3 linked regions of the Canis lupus familiaris genome follow. The protein of the gene in region 2 interacts with the protein of the main gene of each other region in a pairwise test. Links are inferred from orthologs where the notes say so. Each region holds a gene or a part of one and is shown on either strand. Other genes may lie near its edges.

What was found.
Region 1: the proteins of TOP1 (region 2) and BTBD1 interact in a two-hybrid assay, tested with the Homo sapiens proteins (2 studies listed by BioGRID). The link is inferred for Canis lupus familiaris from reciprocal best matches to the Homo sapiens genes TOP1 and BTBD1.
Region 3: the proteins of TOP1 (region 2) and BTBD2 interact in a two-hybrid assay, tested with the Homo sapiens proteins (2 studies listed by BioGRID). The link is inferred for Canis lupus familiaris from reciprocal best matches to the Homo sapiens genes TOP1 and BTBD2.

What each region holds. Positions count from the first base shown.
Region 1 is NC_049224.1:55,321,594-55,329,515, forward strand, and holds the start of BTBD1 (BTB/POZ domain-containing protein 1), read right to left. Parts: upstream 4,798-7,922; 5' UTR 4,716-4,797; coding exon 4,309-4,715; intron 1-4,308.
Region 2 is NC_049245.1:29,728,268-29,735,451, reverse strand, and holds part of TOP1 (DNA topoisomerase 1), read right to left. Parts: intron 5,188-7,184; exon of another isoform or gene 4,511-5,187; intron 4,337-4,510; exon of another isoform or gene 4,226-4,336; intron 3,555-4,225; coding exon 3,411-3,554; intron 2,541-3,410; coding exon 2,355-2,540; intron 1,267-2,354; coding exon 1,198-1,266; intron 666-1,197; coding exon 551-665; intron 1-550. UniProt on the Homo sapiens protein: Releases the supercoiling and torsional tension of DNA introduced during the DNA replication and transcription by transiently cleaving and rejoining one strand of the DNA duplex.
Region 3 is NC_049241.1:57,472,907-57,480,090, reverse strand, and holds the end of BTBD2 (BTB/POZ domain-containing protein 2), read right to left. Parts: intron 6,850-7,184; coding exon 6,693-6,849; intron 5,554-6,692; coding exon 5,448-5,553; intron 5,369-5,447; coding exon 5,171-5,368; intron 3,606-5,170; coding exon 3,413-3,605; intron 3,336-3,412; coding exon 3,248-3,335; intron 3,172-3,247; coding exon 3,025-3,171; intron 2,879-3,024; coding exon 2,717-2,878; 3' UTR 1,901-2,716; downstream 1-1,900.

The sequences.
Region 1 (7,922 bases), on a different chromosome or scaffold from region 2:
GTTCCCCTTCTACATCTCCCCTTGGTGGAGGCCCCCAGGGCTCATCCTGGTGCCTCTGTTCACAATCTGCATTCCCTCCCCAGATAATCTCATTTGGTCTCATGCTTTAAAAATCATCCACTTTTAGCTCTCAAATCTATGTTCTCTTCCCTAAACTCCGGGTTCATATTTATGGCTGTACTCTACAGCCCTCCTTGAACATCTTAGACATCTTGGTTCTACCTTTACAAAATACAGTTGACCTTTGAATAGCACAGGGATTAGGGACATGGCCTCCACTCCCTATCCCCCTCCCTCCACAAAGGTGAAAACCTGCATATAACTTTTGACTCCCCAAAAACTTTACTAATAGCCTACTGTTGACCAGAAGACATACTGATAACATAGTCAATTAATACATTATTTTGTATGTTGTATTATTATATACTGTATTCTTACAATTGAGTGAGCTAGAAAAAAGAAAATGTTATTAAGAAAATCATAAAGGAAAATATTTACTGTACTGTACTTGTTGGAAAAAATCCACATGTATGTGTGCCCATGTGGTTCAAACTCATGTCGTTCAAAGGTCAATCATATATTCACAATGTGATCACCTTTTATCCCAGTCACTCCCATTCTGGTATATATAACCCACTATCATTTTTCTTGCCTGGACTACTGCAAAAGCCTGTTAATTCAACTTGCTGCTCCTCCTTTTACTTCCTCTGCAGTCTAATCTCCAAACTGCCAGAATGAGTTTTTAAAAATGTAAATCAGATCCTATCACCTCCCCACTGAAAACTTTCCAAATGCTTCCCACCATATATCAGTCTCTCCACAGGCTATCCAGCCCTGTACAACCTTGTCCAGCCTGTCTTTCTGACCTCTTCCACCACTTCCCCCCTTATTCATTCTGCTCAAATCACACTGCTTTACTCTTGCAGTTCATTCAACAGGAGAAATTAAGGACCTTAGACACGCTTTGCCTTGGTGAGAATGCTCCTTCCCTCACAGCGTGATCATTTTTCTTTAAAATACTTATCAGAGACACCTGAGTGGCTCAGAGGTTGACCATCTGCCTTTGATTCAGGTCAAGATCCCGGGGTCCTGGGATTGAGTCCCACATCGGGATCCCCACAGGGAGCCTGCTTCTCCCTCTGCTGTGTCTCTGCCTCTCTCTGTGTCTCTCATGAATCAGTAAATAAAATCTTTTTTAAAATAAATAAAAATAAATAAATAAATAAAATACTTATCAATACTTGACATTATATCTTTGTTTTTCCTTACTAGATTTTAAACTACATGAGGGCAGGGACTTTTTCTTCTTCACTGCTGTATCCAACATCTAAAACAGTGGCTGGCACAAGGAAGGCATGCACGGTGTTTCTCAAATGAACTGAAGAACATCACTTTAAGGTCAGGCAGATCAAAACAAGCATTTTTTTATAACGCTAACTGACTCGATTTGTAAACATAATGAAAATAGGCCCAAGCTAACCAGTTTTCCCCACTCAGCAAGTACTAACTATGAGACATCTGTTTGTCACACAAGAATAAGTAAGGACAGCATCTATGCTTTCCCGGCCACCAATACCTTTTGGTCCAGATATCATGTAACAATCAGTCCAGATATCATTTCAGAACAGAACAATGACTGGAATCTGAGGAAGGACAAATACAATGACCACACTGAACATAGAAAAATTTCAAAGACTTTAAAATTAACCTACTTATTTTCTATTGATAGAAAGCATTGACTGATTAACAGCTTCAGTAAAAATATCTACTAAGCATTTTTCCCTCTGCATTCTTATTCTACCAATCTGTTTTTATTTTTTTTAAGATTTTTTTTTTGAGAGACAGTGAGCGAGAGAGCACAAGTGGGAGGCAGAGGGAGAAGCAGTCCCCCCCCTCCCCCCGAGCAGGGAGCCCCATGTAGGGCTTGATCCCAGGACCCAGAGATCACAACCTGGTGTCCCCAATCCCTAATTTTATTTTTTTTTAATTTTTTTAAATTTATTTATGATAGTCACAGAGAGAGAGAGAGGCAGAGACATAGGCAGAGGGAGAAGCAGGCTCCATGCACTGGGAGCCCGACGTGGGATTCGATCCCGGGTCTCCAGGATCGCGCTCTGGGCCAAAGGCAGGCGCCAAACCGCTGTGCCACCCAGGGATCCCCCAATCCCTAATTTTAAAGGAAAAAACTGGACAGTATTTTTAGATCAGTGGCTCTCATATTTAGTCGGTACTAGTATTTACAGAGAGTATTAAAAACGCTCTCAAGGTCCCATCTCCAAACATTACAATATTTCAAAGAGGGAGGAAGGGATCTATAAATTTAACAAGCACTCAAGGATATTACAATGCAGGTACACCAACAATCGCTTTAAAATACAGTCTAGAAAATCTAAACAAGCTATAACCAATCCTCCTGTCAATGACCTCAAACCAAAATGAGAATGACCTCGATCCTAGCTTTTGAGCCTTTTTTTTCCCTCTCTCTTTATAAATGTAATTTAACTAAATTGCATAGATTATGGGAAACAAAGAGAAAAGAGGAAGAAAAAGGCAGTATCATCTCACCACTCCAATAAAGCTCTGGTTAGCATTTTGGTATACTTTCTCCTATCCACATCTCTAGGTATATGTTTGTTCCCTTACTCTTCACAATTTTATCCACAGCACAGTTTCCAGGGCTATTATACACATTTCCCATGTTAATATTACCTCGTCCTCATCAGTCTCCTGCTCAGTAGCATTATACTGCATCTAAAGTACTATCATTGTTTATCTAACCATTCCCTCCAGCTAACTGCTTCCTTACTACTATAAATAACCCAGCTGTAAATATTTTTATACACATTTTTTTCAGTACCTGAACACGGGGGGGGGGGGGGGGGGGGGGGGGGGGGAGGCAGGGCATCTATAGTGCCAAACTGTTCTGCCACCACCTTTATCAGAGAAGGCTTTTCCAATATTATCTTAGCTTTTCCAATATTATCTTTAAAATACTGGGAGGAAAGGGTTTGCTTTTAATTTCTATTTCTTTACTCACTGAGGTTAAACATTCTTTGTTAATCGGCTGTATCTTTTTTTTTTTTATTCATGAGACACAGAGAGAGAGGCAGAGACACAGGCAGAGGGAGAAGCAAGCTCCATGCAGGGAGCCCGACGTGCGACTCGATCCAGGGTCTCCAGGATCAAGCCCTGGGCCGCTAAACCGCTGAGCCACCCGGGCTGCCCAGCTCTATCTTTTCTTTAAGTGAGTTATCTACCCTGCCTTTTGCCCACTTTTTATGGGACTTTAAACTTTTTTTTTTAATATTTTTTATTTATTTATGGTAGTCACAGAGAGAGAGAGAGAGAGAGAGGCAGAGACATAGGCAGAGGGAGAAGCAGGCTCCATGCACCAGGAGCCCGACGTGGGATTCGATCCCGGGTCTCCAGGATCGCGCCCTGGGCCAAAGGCAGGCGCCAAACCGCTGCGCCACCCAGGGATCCCTTATGGGACTTTAGTATTCCTTTTCTACTTCTTTTATCTTTGTATTGTTTCCCACTAATCTTCCTGATCGAGCTGTGGACGGACTAGGTATCTGTTCACGACCTGTTTTTTTGGCTCAGCACCACCCAAGACTCTGCTAGTTTAGGAAGACACTGTTGTCAGGCACCCTCTAGATGGAATGAAGCACTCACGGTCTTCCTTCCGAGGCTGCTGTTACCTTGGCCAGTCGCTTGACTTTTCTGGACCCCAATCCCAAATGGGGAAGTATAAAAAAACAATACCTACACTTCCCCAACCGGACTTCTGTGAATGCAAGCTAATAATGCCAAACGATTAGCTCCCTTCCGTGAACTAGAATGAATCAGAAGCCCGTGTAGCATTCTCCGATGAGCCAAAAGCAAACTCCTCAACACTGGCGGCTGGGTTTGTTTTTAAGCAGATGTGACCTTGTCTGCAGAAAGGCCACACCTACCTGTTTTGGTCCTGCCTCCCTGGGTCCTGACAACCGAGGCAGAGGCTAACGAAAAAGGAGTCGGAATTTATAACGCAAAAAATGGGTCCTACGAGAGTTCTCCGCTCCCCGACCCCCACCCCCCGCCGGTCCCCAAGAAAAGGACAAGTAAAACTTGGCGAATGGGCCCTCGGGACAAGCTGGTCCACACCGCAGCCCACCGGTGCTCCGATCCCGAAGGTCGGCGACAGTCGGGGGCCGGACCCGACCAGGAGGGCGCTCGCCCAGCGGACGCGGACACGGGACGGTGCCCGGCCGCCGGGAGGAAACTGAGGCCCGGACCCGCGGGAGAGGGCCGCGGGGGGCCGCTCACCTCAGCAGCGCCAGGAAGGCGGCGGGCTCCACGTCGGGCAGCTCGATCTCGGCCGACGTGGTGGCCATGCCGCCGTTGAACATGGCGTCGAAGACGGCGCTGCCGGCCGCCAGCACGAAGCGGTGCGCGGGGATGCGCTGCGGGCCCCCGGCCGCCGCCGCGCCGCGGCCCTTGCCCAGCACGAAGCGCACATCGCTCAGCAGCTCCGAGTTGAAGAGGAAGGCGAAGCGCTCCTTCAGCGACGCCTTGGTCGCCTGCCAGTTGTACAGCGGCTCCCGCTGCAGGGGGAGCAGGGGCCCCAGAGAGGACGGCGGCGGCGGCGGCGGCGGCGGAGGCCCCGCGGCGCCCGGTTCCGCCTCGGCCCCCGGGACCTGCTCGCCCGCAGCGGCCGGCCCGAGCGAGGCCATCCTCCAGCGGCGCGGCAACTCGGGCTAGGCAGAGAGCTCCCGCCGCCCAGCAGCCATCACCGAGGCCGCCCCGGAGGCCGGCGCCGCCTGGGTGCCTTCCGGGAAAGGCGCTTCCGGCGGCCGCGCCCCGCCCCGCCCCGCCCCGCCCCGCCCACGGCTGCCCCGCCCCGCCCCGCCCACGGCTGCCCGGCGCGCGCCTCTCTGGCCCCGCCCCGCTCCGCTCCGCCCCGCCCACGGCTGCCCGGCGCGCGCGCGACCGCCGGAGCCGAGCCCCCGAAGCTCGAAGCCCTGAGCGGTGGGCGGGGGTTCCCGAGGCCCTGTGCACGCCCCTGCGCACCCCGACCCACAGCCTGCCCTCATCAGCTGCAGTGCCTCCCACGTGTCCCAGGGGCAGGTCCCTAGGCTGTCCCTCCAGGACTTTCCCCGCCTGCAAACGGGCGGGGGCGCCGAGGACTTGGCCACAGGAGCACGGGGGAGGGGACGACAGGATTTCCCCCCCCTTCCCTTATAATGTCCCCTCCTCCGCAGGGTAGCAGAGCTTGGACTCCTCTCTGCTCAGCAGCCCCCATTCTTCCTCTCTGTTGTCTCTGTATCACTGTGGACTCATGGAATCTTTTTTAAAATGTCTTATAATCCATTGCTAAAAATTAACAGTATCTTAAATCTAAAAACAAAACAACAACAACAAAAAAACCCACAACCACTCAAGTGTACCAGAGCAAAAATAGAGGCTATATTATCTAGTACTGAGCAATGATCATAATTTAATCGCAGGAAATCTGAGGACACGGCGTTTCAAAACTTGCGGAATGCAACGAAAGCTGAGTTCAAGGCTAAAGTATAGCCCAAGCCACTCTTTCTGCGCAACTGGAAATAGTAAAAATTAAATGAAGTAGAGGATTCTGGGAAGGTGGCAGAGGAGGAAGCACCCGGGAATCTAGCTCCCCTCCTAGATAGCAGCTGCTGGCGGGATCTGTGTGGTGGGGCTATTTTGGAGGCCTGGAGCCTGTTGAAAGCAGTAACTTCTAGGGGAAGATTTGGACAGTACGTCACTGTCAATTTCTGTCAATTTCAGATCTTTGCACAGAAGCAGCTACCCATCCCTCATCCCCAGCCACATGGAAGGCAGGCAGCTGCACCCATGTTCATGGAGCACCAAGCACACCGTCTGGAGGAGCCACAGTGGGCAAAAGGAACCTGTTCTCAGAATATCCGGGCTCTGGGCGTGGATTCTTGCTTGCAATCACAATCCAAAGAGGCAGGCAGCAGGTCTTTGCATTTCTTCCTTTGTTGCAAGCACTTCCTTCCTTCAGCAGAAATGACTTCCACTGTATTTAAAGGACCAGCACCCAATTCACCCTCCATTTTCTTACGTTTTCCCCTTTTGGGAGTCAGACATTAAAAACTACTGCAATAGAAAAACAACTGCAGACGCTTGGGTGGCTCAGCAGTTGAGCATCTGTTTTTGGCTCAGGGTGTGATTGTGGTCCCCTGGTCCCGGGATCAAGTCCCACATTGGGCTCCATGCCGGGAGCCCGCCTCTCCCTCTGTTTATGTCTCTGCCTCTCCTCTGTGTCTCTTGTGAATAAATAAATAAAATATTTTTTTTAAAAAAAGCTGCATATTGGGGCAAATTAGAAAATGATCATCCATACCCAAGGAAAGGCTGAGTGAAGACCTTAAATTTACACCTCAGGCTGATCCTTGGCATAGAGAAAATAATCCTACAGCAATAAAAAAAAACAAAACAATAACAAAAAAGCAGCAAACCCCAGGGAAGCAGGAGAATCTGATTTCCAGAGTTACCATATTACTAGATTTAAATGTCCCATGTTCAACAAAAAGTTGCAAGGCATACAAAGAAACAGGAAAGTATGGTCCATTCAAAGGGAAAAAATAAGCAGAAACAGTCCTTGAAGAAGATCTAGTGGCAGATGATAGGGGAACACAGGGCAAGCTGAGGACAAGGCTTTATTTAGCTTGGGGCAGCACGGGGCAGCACATTGACAATTCCTTGACAATTTAGGCAAGGGACATCCCTCAACGGACTCAACTGCCTCGATGTTCATACTCTGCTAAGGGCAGAAGGCAATCTTAGCCCAACCCCCAGGAGCCTGTAAGTCTACTTTAACATATAAAAATTCCTTTAGAAATTTCCTTTATCTCTACCCACCAGGATATGTGTTGGTGATCATCCCCCAAGCACATAGCGCACCCCGATACACATCTGAAGGGTCTCATGACTCAGGTCTTATTAGCCAGTAATAAGTGACCTTTCCCCCAACAATAGCTAACCTCCTCAAGGTCCTGGAAAACTTGCTTCCAAAATTCCTTAGTACGCTATCCCCAAAACCCTCCCAACTTCCAGGTATATAATCAATCACCCCTCATAGACCTGGGGTGGCAACTCTTGATTGATCTGTCTGTCCATAGATCCTGTCCCTGTGCTTTAATAAAGCCACCATTTTGCACCAAAGACGTCTCAAGAATTCTTGGCCATCAGCTCCAGACTTCACCTATATTCCAAAACTTCATCAGCAGATATACAAGGCAAACTTTAAAATAACTGTCCCCCCCACTTTTTTTAAGATTTTATTTATTTGACAGGGACCACAAGTAGAGGGAGGGGCAGAGGGAGAGGGAGAAGCAGGCTCCCCAATGCCAATGCCCATGCCAATGTTGGGGCTCCATGCCAGGACCCTGGTATTATGATAACCCACTGAGCCACCCAGGTGCCCCTAAAATAACTGTCTGACAGTTGCTCAGAGAATTTAAGGAAAATATGGAAGAGACCAAGAAAATGATGTATGAACAGAATGGAAATGTCAATGAAAAGATAGAAAACCTAAAAAGAAACAAACAAAAAACACCCCACAATTTCTGGAGCTGAAAAGTACAATAACTACGTGAAAAATGCCCTAGAGGTATTCAAAGGCAAATTTGAGCAGAAGGAAGAAAGAATCTGCAAACTTGAAGATGAGACCATAGAAATTATTGAGGTAGAGAACAGAATGAAGAAAGAGAGGAAAAGCAAACAGAGCCTAAAGGAGATACCAGACACCCTAAAACAGACCAACCTACACATTGTGGGGGCCCTGGAAGATGAAAGAGAGAAAGCAGCAGAGAGAATATTTGAAGAAATAATAGCTGAAAACTTACAAACCAAAAACTGATGGAAATGAAGGGGGAAATAGTTCTACAACAATG
Region 2 (7,184 bases):
TTTTTAGTCTTATATTCTAAAGCTATTTGATGTACTTTTAGAGGATAGGTAGAATTTAGCAGTGACTGGGCTCTAGGGAAAAAAAGCTTGTGTATCTTGGTTGTACCTTCTGCACCTAGTTTTTAGGAAAATACTACCTACTATTTTAAGGGGGGGGGGTGACAGAAACCTCAGGGGAAGGATGTGCTCCTGGTTTAAAAAATAACCATGAAAACCTTATTCTCTCCAATTTAACCAAGCATCATAGCACTATGTCTTCACTCTGTGAGTTTTCAAAAAACATACATATAAACCATCAAATGTAGGTACTTTCAGAAAGCTCCTGTCAGCATTCCACGAAAATAAATCTTGAACTTGGGGTAGGAAGGGGGAAACTACACTGATTTTATGTTTATACAACTAGGCCTTGGCTCTCTATTAGAGGTATAGAAGGAAAAGTTTCCAGTGATAAAAATTAAGGAGAATAGCAGAAAAGCTCTAGGACTTAGCTCAGCAAGGGCAATGGACATACCAGGAAGTGTGCAAGCCTGTCTGGCCAACAAGTACTTACGGGCTGTGAGTTCTTTTAGCTGCTGCTGTAGCGTGATGGAGGCATTGTATGTACGGAACACCTTGGCTGTCAGGCCCTCCATAAGATCCTGAAGATGCTTATTTAGAATACCAGTCTGGAGGAGACAAAGCACAGAGAGGATATTGGGATTTATGCAAAAGCTAAACCACTCTGCCCCTTCTGGCAAGCCCTAGGACATTTATACCAGTGTAATCTCAAGTTTGCCAAGTTTATTGCCCTGCCAGTGGGAAGTTAGAAAAAAATTCCAAAACACAGGGTGCGTGATATCTCCCTATGAAGTATGTTAATCTTAAGCAGGACAATAAAGCAAATTTGTCCTTCCCCCATTAAGATCTTCCCTGATAAGATATAGGGAGAGGCCTTCAATCTCAGAGATGGCTGGGTATCCAGCCAAAAGACGACTCTGCAAGAGCCAGAAGAGAATAAAAGGTAGGGTCTGTCCACCTGTCTGAGGGCTTTGGTCATGGATTCACTGTGTGCCTGCAGAAGGAACAGTGTATAGGATGCCACAGGACAAACTGAAGGGATAGTAGTCCAAGTCACCCCCAGGCAAACCTCTCCTTTAGGAGCTTGTGAGGAGGCTCCGGCTGGGCCCCTCCTTCAACCCGTGCAATCTGTCCACTCACATTGAGTCTATCAAAAAGATCATCCTCAGGCTGTTTGTTCTCCATAAATAGCTGTAAGTTCTTAAAAACCTAAAGGAAAATAAGTAGAACCTATTATTTAAAAAGCCTTTACTTTGGAAATAATTACAAACTTACAAAAACTTAGAAAATAAAAAAGCATAAGGCATACCCATACCCACATCCTTTTACCGATTCACTGACCATTAACGTTTTATACAACATTCACCATTGCACAATACATGTCTGCCTCACTTCCATCTCTACATACATGTGTGTAGACACACAACTGTTTGTCCTGAATCATTTATGAGCCCTTTATCCTTAAATATCTCCGTGTATTTCCTAAGAACTTCCTAAGGATAGAGATACTCCCTTGCATTCACACAGTACTTATCAGCTTCATAAATTTGCATGTATATATGCTTCAATCTACTGTTCATATTCCAATTTGGTCAGCTGACCTAATGATGTCCTCTACTTCTCCAGGATGGAATCCAATCTAAGGTATTACATTTAGTTGTCATGTCTCTTTAGCACTTCTTTAGTATGGACCACTGCCACAGCCAACAAAGCCTAATGACTGATTAAATATCAGACTTTTAAAGGGCTAGATTACAGGTTCAAGCCCAAGAGTTGGGGGGGGGGGGGGGGACGGATGGACATGGAGCTGCAGTGCCCTCTTTGGGTATGGGCTCAGAGATTTGAGGACTAAAGGGCTATTGCTTGGCTCAGTCAGGAGTTCAGAGAGAGGTTGAGCAAAGTTACAAAAATGACAAATATGCAACAAGACCGGGGGTATGGAAATGTGGTTGAATCATTACAGTAAGGTGAGTTAAATCTTATGCTAAAGTTTGCCACTAGGGCCAACACTCTACAGCATGCACTGTTGACTGTTACTTTAGGACATGGTGCCCTCATTCCCAGGAAGGTGTAGCACGGGGTGGTAGGTGAGGGACAGGGACTAAAAGGAGGTACACAGGACAACCAATACCTCTCCTCTCTCTTTCAAACTATTTCCCTAGTGTTCAGCAAGTGAAGAGCATACAAAAAGCACTCAATATATGCTTGCTGAATGAATGAATGAATGAATGAACGAACGAACGAACGAAAGAAATGAAGGAAAAACAGGCCAGGGTGCACAGGCCAAAGTAACTTACTCGTTTCTCAACAGGGACTTTATTATAGTATCTGATCGAATCTTTTCCAAGGAAGTCAAACTCTACCACGTATTCCTGACCATCCAACTCTGGGTGCAGATTGATATGCTCCACACGAAGCGAGCAGCAACCCACTGTGTCCGCTGTTTCTCCTTCCTCCTTCTCATTGCCTGCTCTCAGAGCAAGCTGTCCAGGAAGTAGGGAGAAATGAGAGCAAATGAAAAAACTTCAATTTTCTACGATCTCTAGGAAATCCAAATCAGAAGTCTCCTAACTCTGGGGATAGAGTATCAGTCTGCAAGGCTTGGGAATTCTGGATTCTATATGCTCCTTCCTCTATAAAATGAAGTACAGAGAATCATAGTGATATTACCCTTTCTCATAAAACCAAGCTTCTCTTTACTCTGTTCTCTCAAATAAGAATGGAGGAAAGGAAGAAATTAAAAAAAAACAACAACAACAACAAAGCAGCAAACAAGAGAGTATTCCTATTCTGGGTGATAGACTCAGTAGTCTCCTAATTTTGCTTAATTTTTGAGATAATTTAGATTTTGTGCTAAGCAGTGCAAAATTGGGAAAGAAACCAAAATCTTCAAAAAGGTAGTGACAAACTCATCTCCTCTAGAGCATGGTCCTTCAAAGTATAGTTGTGAAACATTCATGGATTGTTTAACCAATTTTAAGGGTTATAACCATTCTTTTTAAAAACAAGAAAAAAATTAAAATGTCAGAATTCATTGCTTGTAGAAAGGCTAAACACTGTTTTGTGCAGCTTTGCAGTTACACACAACTACAAATATATTTATGTGTGTTGGGTCATGACGTAAAATAAAAATTTTTTTGGTGGCTTATACTCAGTTTGAAAATGTCATAGTATTTGCAGAAGATTCAGATTTAGAGACCAGCAGACTCCAAATGCCTCTCTCTCCACTTCTACCCTCCTTATTGGACCAGAGATGGGTACTGCTCCAGTACTTAGCACAAGGCCTGGAAATGTAAACAATCCCATATTTGGTAAGCCCAACGTATTAGGCAATGTGATAGGAAGATGCTCACCTTGTCTATGAAGTATAGGGCTACAGCTCTCTGCCGGACTTTCATCTCTTTGGACTTCCAGTCTTCTCTATATTGGTTCCGGATTTTATCCACACACTTCTTCAGTCGCCGAGCAGTCTCATATTTCTGCCAGTCTTTCTCACCCTGCAAAGACCCAAACCCAAAGGTCTATGTAGATTGTGTAGGGATGGTAGAGTAAAAATAGACTTTGAATATTCAAGCTCAGAGCTCTGAACCAAAGGAACCTGAGCATAAGCAAGGTAGAAAAAGAAGAGTACTGAAGAGAAATTTTAGAGTATCTAACCTGGTGAGAACTCATGTTAGTCTCGTTTCACTGTCAAGCACAACAGGCCCCTGTCTAGTTACTAAGCCAGCCTCTGGCTTTCATTCTGTAAAGTGATTATGTTCTTGGGAAAAGCCCAAATGGCACGTCCCCAAAATGGACTTCTATCAATACAAAGGTATAAATATCCCCATCCCCACATCAGCATCAATGCTCTGCTGTAGAGTCTGTGACCCAACAGTTTTCTGCTAGGACTAAATTTCATTAAATACAAATCCAAGACAACCATTCAGTTTGATGGACTGTCAAGAAGCAGAACCAAAGATGACACAACACATTAATTACTAAGGAACACAAAGACTTCCAGGAACAGTGGTAATTATTCACCATTTTCTAACTTCTGCATTTAAGAGTATTTTTGATTAGATTGAGGGGAAACAATGTTACTGAGAAGACTTTTTCTTCTCAAAACATTAGTTTTTGGTACAAGTTCTAAAAATTTATTCTAAAGCCAATGACGTGTTTTTAAAAGGGTATGAAAAGACTGAATCTAATCAACAGTGACAGAAGATTATTTCTGCTACCATATTGAATGGAAACAAGATTCACAAGCAAGGACTGATACTAATGTCAAGTGAGAAAGGTAAGAAAGGGGGGAGAAACATCTATGAAATCCCAAGAGGGTCAGGGAGTATTCTAAGGCCTAAAACAAATTATATGACATGACTACAAGGATGGATTTTTTTTTTTTTTTAAAGCTAGCTAGTTTGCTTATTTCTTTCTTTCCTTTTTCCTTTCCTTCCTTCCTTCCTTTCAGAGAGAGAGGCAGAGACACAGGAGGAAGGAGAAGCAGGCTCCATGCCGGGAGCCCGACGTGGGACTCAATCTTGAGACTCCAGGATCGCACCCTGGGCCAAAGGCAGGCGTTAAACCGCTGAGCCACCCAGGGATCCCCCACAAGGATGGATTTTAAGAACCCAAGAATCTCTGCTCTTAATTCTCCCAACCACAAGAGAGAGGGATAGTGATTTCTACCCACATATGCCTAGTTCCCATCTGACATGCGACATTGGTCCTTGAAGTTTAATAATCATGGTCACGGTAACTAGCCTTCTGAGCATGCAGGAAAGTGAGCTATGTGTAAGTGAGAAACATCTTCTACGTCTAGCTCTAACAACACTCAGAAATGCAAGCTCACCTGGGTATGCTAAGGATTCATCAGCACTCTCCCACAACTGTGTGTGGCCAAGTTGTATGTACTTGTTTGGCTATAAAATAAGAGGTTCAGTAACTACTTGTTGTTGTGGGTGGGCAATTAAGCAGTTGGTGATACAATATCTAAGAAGAAATATCTAAGTTCTATTTCCTGACAAAGGGAAGCTTAAAATTTCTCAGATTTTTCTTAGTACATATTGACATTTAAAAGGGTGAAGAAAAAGGTGTGATACCAGCTGTCTTCATGTACGAGTCAGTAATAAATTTCCATGACAATCATGTCTTTCTCTCTCTCTCCCTTATACACACACACACACACACACACACACACACACACACGACATCAAAGACTCATCTTTAATAGTATAGTCTCCAGTTAAGGAGCCGGCTCTTGGCCATCACTCTAATGCACATAGGCCTACCAAAGCCTTACTCCAAGTCTTCAAAGTCCCATAGGGTTACATTTGCCCAATTCCTTAGTCATGCCACCAAAACAAGGTTTAGAAAAACGCAACAAATAAGTTATTCACAGAGGATACCACAAGATCAACTTTTCTTCACAGGATGGCTGGGCTCTTGATGCAAGGATCCAGGAGTCTCAAATAAGGATACAAAGATGGGAGGGTGGGGGCAGATGCCACCTTGTCTAGGTCTAAGGGAAGGCTGGCTCCAGGAAGTATGCTTATCCCTGCTGTCTTCGAAGTTTCTCTAAGCAGACAGTAAATTACACTTGAACAAGCTTTCTCAGACTACTAGAAAATAAAATACCCATTTCGGTTTTCCAGATAAGGTCATCATCAAAACCGTCTCAGTAAAACAAGGTATCCACTATAGGAAGCTTGCCTTTAACCCTTTCCATTTTCCCCTACCCAAACTTTTGTATGGATAAGAATCTAACTTGATTATACAGGACTCAGGTGTCCCTATTCTGAATCTTTTAGAAAAGATTTTATGTTATATAGTTTGATCAGTTTTGACAATTCATAACCCATGTAACCTACATCCCATTAAGACACAGACTATTCTCAGGGCACCTGGGTGGCTCAGTGGTTGAGCATCTCCCTTTGGCTCAGGTCGGGATCCAGGGGTCCTGGGATCAAGTCCCACATCGGGCTCCTCGTAGGGAGCCTCCTGCTCCCTCTGCGTGTCTCTCATGAATTAAAAAAATAAAATCTTAAAAAAAAAAGAGAGAGAGAGAGGGAGAGAGTATTCTCTATCATTAGAGAAAGTTCACTCATGCCCCTTTCTGGTTAATCAACAACTAAGCAATCACTGTTCTTTAATTTCTATCATCATAGATTAGATTTTGCCTAATTTAAAGTATTATATAAACAGAATCATACAGTATAGGCTTGTGTGTCTAGGCTTTTCAACATGTATTTTAAGATTCATCCACGTTGGGGTGCCTAGGTGACTCAGTTGGTTTGAGTGTCTGACTCTTGATTTTGGCTCAAGGTCACGATCTCAGGGTTGTGAGATTGAGCCCTATATTAGGCTCTGCACTGAGCTTGAGATTCTCTCTCTATCCCTCTCACCGCCCCTCCCCCTATGCTCATTCTCTTAAAATTTTTTTTCTTAAATAAAATCTTAAAAAAAAAAAAGATTCATCCATGTTGCTGCATTCATTAGTTCACTTCATCCAACTGCTAGTATATATGGTATAATCTATGACTATCCCTAATGTGTCTGACCAGACCATGTATTTATTCTGTTGATGGACCCCCTAGAATGTTTCCAATTTGAGACCTGCATTAATATAATGCTGCAATAAACATTCTTGTACAGATCTTTTTATGGACACAGGTTTTCAATTTATTTGGGGTAAAAATACCTAGAACTGGAATTAGTCACCTCATTGTGGTTTAAATCTGCATTCCATTGATAATTAGTGAGGTCAAGAACTCTTTCATGTGCTTATTTATTGGCCATTTCTCTCTTGTAAAGCATCCGTTTGAGTCTTGCTTTCTTTTATTATGGAGTTATAGAATTCTTTGTGTATTCTGAATACAAGTTTTCCATCAGATATACATGCTGCCAATATTCTCTCCCAGTAACATGTATTTAGTAACAGTATCCTATGTTGAACTCAAGTTTTTTTAAAAGATTGATTTATGATAGAAAGAGAGAGGCACAGAGACACAGGAGGAGGGAGAAGCAGACTCCATGGTGGGAGCCTGATGCAGGACTCGATCCCAGGACTCTAGGATCACACCCTGGGCCAAAGGCAGGTGCCAAACCGCTGAGCTACTCAGGGATCCCGAACTTAGGTTTTTAAT
Region 3 (7,184 bases), on a different chromosome or scaffold from region 2:
TTTTTCGTTGAGAGAGCTGTGATGCTGTTCATTCCCAACTAGGAGTAGAGCTTTCTCTGTTCTGTTCTGCTCACTCTGGATTTAGATATTTTTTAGTTTTTTAAGATTTTATTTGTTCATGAGACACAGAGAGAGACAGAAACACAGGCAGAGGGAGAAGCAGGCTTGATGCAGGGAGCCCGATGCGGGACTCGATCCCAGGACCCCAAGGGTCACGCCCTGAGCCCTAGGCAGATGCTCAACCACTGAGCCACCCCAGCATCCCTGGATTTAGGTATTTCAAACCCATGCTACGGTGCACACGCTTAGGGCTGTTCTTCTTCCTGTCAAATAGAACCGCTCATGGCTGTGAGATGTCGTCCTTAACCTCCAGTGGCACTCACTGCTTTAAAGTCGCCTTTGGGGGATCCCCGGGTGGCTCAGCGGTTTAGCGCCTGCCTTTGGCCTGGGGCGTGATCCTGGAGCCCCGGGATCAAGTCCCACCTCGGGCTACCAGCATGGAGCCTGCTTCTCCTTCCGCCTCTGTCTCCCCGCCCCCCCATGTCCATCATAAATGAATAAATAAAATATTAAAAAAATAAAGTCGCCTTTGCCGGATACAGACGCCGGCCCACCGACTTTCTCATAAGGGTAGTGTTTGTGTAGTGAAACTTACCATCTTTTATCTTCAGTTTTTCTGTTTCTTTGTAATTAAAATGAGACTCTTATAATTAGGAAGTAGTTTTGTTTTGGTTTTGTATCCAGTATGACAGTCTTTTAATTGGGGTGTTTAGATCTGTGTGTAACAGCTGACGTGGTGTTTTGGTCCTGTCTTGGTGTTTTTTAACTTCCATTGCATTTATTTTCATTTTTGAAGGGCACAGAATTGTAGTGTGGTGTAGTTTTTTTTTTTTTAAGAAATTTATTTATTTCGAGCGAGAAAGAGCGTGTACACTAACCAGTTAGGGGAGGGGCAGAGGGGGAGAGTCTCCAGCAGGCTCCACACTGAGTGGAGACCCCAACGCAGGACTCGATCTCATGACCCCAAGATCATGGCCAGAGCTGAAACCAGGATGCTTAACCAACTGAGCCATCCAGGTGCTCCTCTCCTGTTTTTCAGATTTTTTCCCATTTCTTAGCAGTTTGAGCATATGTGAATTTTTATTTTTTAATTTCTAAAAATACTGTTTTAAAGGTTTTATTTATTCATAAGAGACAGAGAGAGAGAGGAGCAGAGACACAGGCAGAGGGGGAAGCAGGCTCCATGCAGGGAGCCCGATGCGGGACTCGATCCTGGGTCTCCAGGATCATGGCCTGGGCTGAAGGCAGGCGCTAAACCCTGAGCCACCCGGGCTGCCCTAATTTCTAAAAATATTTTTAAATTTATCTCACTTTGGGTCATTGAGATTTTTAAATGTGCTGATTGATGTCTTTATTCATTTGGGTAGATTTTTAGCTGTCAGGCCCTGTTCTATGCCTGTTGTCAGGAACTCCCTGACGCGCAGGGCGGAGCCAGGTGGGGGGCCTGGGTCAGGTTACCCTCGTTGCACAGGCACAGCCTAGGGAGCTCCTGTGTGCCAGGCGCGGTCCCAGGGCCAGAGGGCAGAGCCAGCAAGGTGTGGGTGCGGCGCGCTGCAGCAGAGCCTTCCCTGGGGGCCCCCCTTGCTGGACAGCAGGGGTGTGATGGGCAGACCAGAAGTTTGTGCAGAGGACAGGGCATGGGGAGAGCCCCCAAGGGCTCTGGGTGCCCCGAGGCTGGGACGTCTGTCAGGAGCCGGATTCTAGACCCAGGCGGAAGTCACAGGCCCTTCCTGGGCCCCCTAATCTTAAGGTGGGAGAAACGGCTGCAGAGCGAAGAGCCAGGTCTCAGCTGCCACGGTCCTGCCCCATTGCCTCCGACAGGAAAAAGCACTCAGCGTGGTTATGTTTCTTTCCTTTATTTAAAAAAATCCTTTGAGGGTATGGTGTGAGGAGGGCACACCTTCCATGGCTTTGGGGAGGAATTTCCAGGAGGATCACTGGGGTGGAAACACGGGTGGGGGGACGGGGGAGGGGCTGCGCCCTCCAGCACCTCTGGCCACAGTGCTCACTCAGAGGCCGGGTGGGGCAGGGCTGCAGTATGTACAGGGGGCAGGCGGGGACCTGGCCACCGTGGCTGACCCCCGGCACTGCCCGGCCGGGCAGACAGGGCCTGAGGTCCACGCCCGCGGCTCACGGGGCCCACCGGGTGGGCCTGGGCCTGGCACAAAGCCAGCCTGCGGGACCTCGGGGTTGGGGGGCTTCGGCCAGTGTGCCGGGGGCCAGGGTCAGCGTGGCCTCAGCGTCCCCACTGAATGGACCAGAACACGAGACCCCAAGCAAACGCACTAGGGGCGCCCCCACAGCCCGCCTACCAGGGAATGGGAATCCAGGGTGCATTGCCGTGTGCGGTGAGAGAACGTGACGCGGAATCGATCAATCCTGTGGCCAGGCGGGCGGCGGGCAGCACTGCCTCCCCAGGGGCCCCGCGGACCCTCAGCTCGGGCCGGGTCCAGGCCAGCCCTGCCCCCCGAGTCCTGAGGGACCGCCTCGCAGCCCCTGCCGGCTCCTCAGCAGGCGGCCAGGCTCGCCGCACGGAGCAGAGACCCTCTCCTGACGCCCGGGACCGCGGCGGGGAGCGCACACAGCATGGGGACCGCGGGGGCGCGGCGTGGGTGGGGGCGGCCTACTTGCATCAGGTGGCTTCGGGCCGGGTGGCCTAGGTGTAGAAGATGACCTCGGGGATCTGGCCGTCCTCCACGGACGTGCCGTTGTTGTTTCCGGCCGCGTAGCAGAACGTGAAGCACGTCTTGGCCCCCGTCGTGGGGGACTCGTGCGTCACCTTGCGCAGGCCCTTGGTGCCGTAGTGGGAGTCTGGGCCCTGGTGGGGGGTCCTGCGGTCAGGCACCAGGGCCCCAGCGGCGGCGAGCCGCACAGCCCCTCCCAGGGCCCCCCGCCCCCCGTGGCCCCAGGAGGCAGCAGAGCTGGCGTCGGCGGCCCGCTAGGCTCTGGGGTCGGGGTGGGCACCTTGAGCGTGGCGCAGGCCGTGTAGTTGACGTTGGGCAGCACCTCCACCGGCTCCTTGAACATGACGCGGAAGGTGCTGGCGGAGCCGTCACAGCTGAAGCCCGTGTCGTTCTGGCCCAGGACGGTGTTGCTGTCCGTGTGGATGATCTGTGGGGGGAGCAGGCGCTGCTCACCAGCCCCCGACCCCACGGAGGCCCGCGGGGGGGGCGGGGGGGGCGCGCACCTGGATGTTCACTTGGTAGTCCGTGGGCCCGTGGATGGAGCCGTAGAGCCCAAAGCCAACCACGAAGATGCGCTTGTTGACCGAGAACCTGGGCGGCGGACAGAGGGGGCGCTGAGCCGCGGCCGGCCCCGCGGCCCCACGGCCCCCACCGGCGCGCCGGCCCACCTGATGCGGTCGCTGGTGCCGCTGTAGCCCCAGCGGCTCTCCACCTGCTGGAAGCGGTTGATGCTGCACTCCTTCCCGCGGAGGCAGCAGCGCGGCCGGTCGATGAAGTCGACGCGCGGCTTGGGGTTGACGGTGAAGTGCAGGAAGAGGCTGACCACCTCGCGGTCCACGAGGATGCCCGACTGCGCGGGCCCTGCGGGCACAGGGGGCGGAGGTCGGCGCCGGCGGGGCGGCCGCGCACGCGGAGACGCGGGGCCCCCAGCAAGCGCCAGCCCGGCTCAGCACCGGCCGCCCCGCCCGGGCTCCCCGAGACGGGGCGGGGCCGAGGGGGTCGGGGAGCGGGTCTGCAGGCTGGTGACAGCACCGCGCGCGGACACGGCGGCCGGGCCAGGGGCCAGCCCCACGGAGAGCAAGGAAGATACAACGTGGAACGCAGCGCGGTAACCATGGTTCTTTTTAATCTCTGCATTGGAAATGCAGGAGGAAAGTACACGGGAGCGCGGCCTCGGCGGAGTCTGCGAGCTTCTCTAGTGTCGTGTTTCCAGCGGGACACAGCAGCAGGGGCGCCTCTAAGACGGGCCGAGTGACGAGGGCCAAGGCCCCGTGGGCGCCCTCCGCGGAGCACAGGCCCAGAAGGCCCAGCCCGGCCCCGAGGACACACGCAGTGCCATTCCCGGGGACCTGGGCAGAGCAGGGGGACGCTGCGGCCTGGGGGCCTTACAGGACAGGCCCCACGCCAAGGGCGAGCGGACGGCACCTGTAGCGCTTGGGGCCCCGGGGGCTCGGCAGCCAGGTGGGCAGGCGGACCCCCGAGAGCGGTTTTGGGGTGCAAGCCAGGCTGGAGACGGGGGCCCCGCAGGGCTCCCAGGGGTGTTGGGATGGGACAGGGCAGCTCTGTCTCCGGCACCCTGGTGCCCTCGGGCCCTCTGAGCCGTATCTGGGGCCACCTCTTCACAACGCTGCTCCCAGCCCAGGACAGCGCCCCGCCCCCAACAACCAGGCCACCGAGGCCACCGAGGTCACCGCGTACAGCCGGGGCCTGGCCCACACACGGCCTCGCTAAGTGTTAGGTGCACGGGAGATCCCGGAACGGACGCAGCTCTGCCCCCACGCTGACGTGACGTGCGGAGGCCAGCTACGACGCGGGACCTGGAAGCCTGAGCTTCAGGTCAGAGGACTCATCTGCAGGGTCAGTGCGTCCCACACGGCAGATCCTCGCGCTAAACAGCTAGTTACCGTCGTTGCTAAATCTGGCAACGCCGAGCAGGGAAGCGGGGCGCACGGAGACACGAGACCCTAGGTCTGCACCGGCCACCAGGCTGACACGGGGCCTCGTCCCGGACCCTCCAGCCCCGGGTGGGGGACGGCTCCAAGTCAGGCACCGCTGCCAGCACTGCGTCCACACGGGGCAGGAAGCCCGGCCGGGCACCCCCTCGCCAGCCCCCTCCCACCCCTTGCAGGCCCGTCCCCAGGACGCAAACCCGAGATGGGGCCCTCAGTGGGCGCACACACAGGGACACTCGAGACGTGGAGGGGAGGAAACCCAGACGCCCATCGGGGGCGGCGGTGGGCTGTTCTGTGTTCACACCGACGGGCTGCCAGCCGTCCACGTGAGCGCGGCGGGCGCGTCCTCGGCAAACGGGCACACCTGTGTCCCGCAGCTGGCTCGGGCGGCCGCCGGAGCGCCGTGACCGAGTCACACCTGGGGCCCCCGGGGGCCGTGCTCCTGCCGAGCGGCCCCCGCCCCCTGACCGTTACCTGCGGCAAACTCCTCGATGGTCATGAGCGGGAAGCGGATGAGGGCGAGCGCCTTGCCCAGCACCTTGCGCTTGTTCTCGGGCGTCACGGGCAGCTGCTGCCGCTGGCACTCGGCCTCGGACCAGCGCACGACGGCGCTGAACAGGCGCACCTCGCGAATGCCCAGGGTGTCCCGCTCCAGCACGGCCACCAGCGTGTCTGCGGGAGGGGACACCTCAGCGCCCCGCGCGCCCTCGGCGGGCGCCACCCCCCGCCCAAACCTGCCCCGGGGCCTCACCCAGGTCGATGTCCGTGAAGCCCTCGGCAGTGATGGCGTCGGCGGTGTTCTTGTCGATGTTTTCCAGGCACAGGCTGGCCAGCTGCGGTTCGTCGAAGAGTCGTGCCTGGCGAGGGGGAGCACGTCAACACGCTGCCCGGGCGGGGGCCCCAGACGCCCTCTGGCTCAAACCTGCCATGGAGTTCAAGTCCCGCGGGGGCCACGGTGCCCAGACTGAGCAGCCCCGGGACCGGCCGAGGCCGACAGGACAGGCCCCAGGGGGCAGGAAGCCCGGGGACAGGACGCAGTGCAGCCCTGACCGCCGGAGACGGCTCCATCGGGAACCTGCGCACAGGATGGGGGGCGGGCGGGGCGGCGGGGAAGATTCCAGCTCCTGCCCAGCACAACCCTACGGCCGCTCACGTCCACCCCCGGCCTGGCTGCCGGGGCAGCTCCGGGCCTCCCGACAGGCCTGGCTCAGCGCCGCAGAGCAACCTGGACGACCGGACGACCCACGCGTCTGGAGACAGTGCGGGGGCCGCCCCGGGACAGCCCCCCTGCCCCGGCGGGCCTGTCCCCTGCCCGCCTGTGCCCCCGAGGCCTCGCCAACCCCACGCCAACCCCACCCCAACCCCCGGCGCCACGGGGCCTGAAAGCGACCTCAAAGGAACCGAATGATGAAATGAGAAAACCCTTTCTCCCACCCGGGACCCTGAAGAGGGGCCTCCAAATGCCTGCGGGAAACCAGGCGCCTGCTGGAAGGCCCGGGTCAGCGCGCCGCGGGGGCAGGCGCTCGGCTGCAGAATCTAAGGGATGTTAAACGGAGACCCACTCCCCGAACCCCCCACCCCCCTCGGGGGCCTCTGGCTCCCGTCCCCGCCCCCCACATTTGCACGGTCCCAGCATCCTCACCTGCCCCGCTTGCCTCTGGTCTCTGGGTCCCTCCTCGCCCCCCCCCCCCCCCGCACCTGCGTTCTCAGAGCATCGCGCCCTGAAGCGCCCGCACACCCGCTTCCTCTGCTTCCTCACGTAGCCCTGCGCACCGCGTCCCTACCTGCCCCCTCCGCCCCCGCCCTGCGCCCCCTCATCCCCCCCCTCGCCGGAGCCCACGCACCTGTGTCCTTGCCCTGCACACGCGCATCCTCAGCCGGCCTCGTGTCCCCCACCCCCGTGCACCCGCGCCCCACAACCTCCCGAACTCCTGCCTCCCCCCGCCCCACGCACCCCTAATCCCCCCCGGACCCCCCCCCCCCCCGCTGCCCGCACCTGCGTGAGCAGCATGAACGCGTTGTCAGCCCGGAGGTTCTTCTTCAGGAACTCCACGCAGTGGGCCTCGAGCGCGGGCACCGCGTACTTCTTGGCGGTGTACAGCGTGGTCATGACGGTCTCGGGTCCGATCTGAACCTCATCCGAGTAGAGAAACCTAAGGGGACAGGACACTAGGACCAGCGGACGCAGCTGGCAGGCGCCGCTCCAGCCCCCGCCCCCCGGCCCAGCCGGAGCCTTCCAGAACCGGCACCTGTCGCTGTGCCCCGCAGATAGGACCTGGCAAAGACCCTTATCTGCCAGACCAGCCGGCGGCGACCCCACCCACCGGCCACCAGGACACGGGTCTATCCAGCAGGCCCGCTTCCTTCCCGGCGGGACGCCCCCAGGCCAGGACCCCAGTGCCCAAGGCCACCGGCCCCTCTGGAGGCCTCTGCCCTGGGATCCCCGGAGCTCTCCGCACCCCTGGGCCTGGACGTCACAGGACCAGAA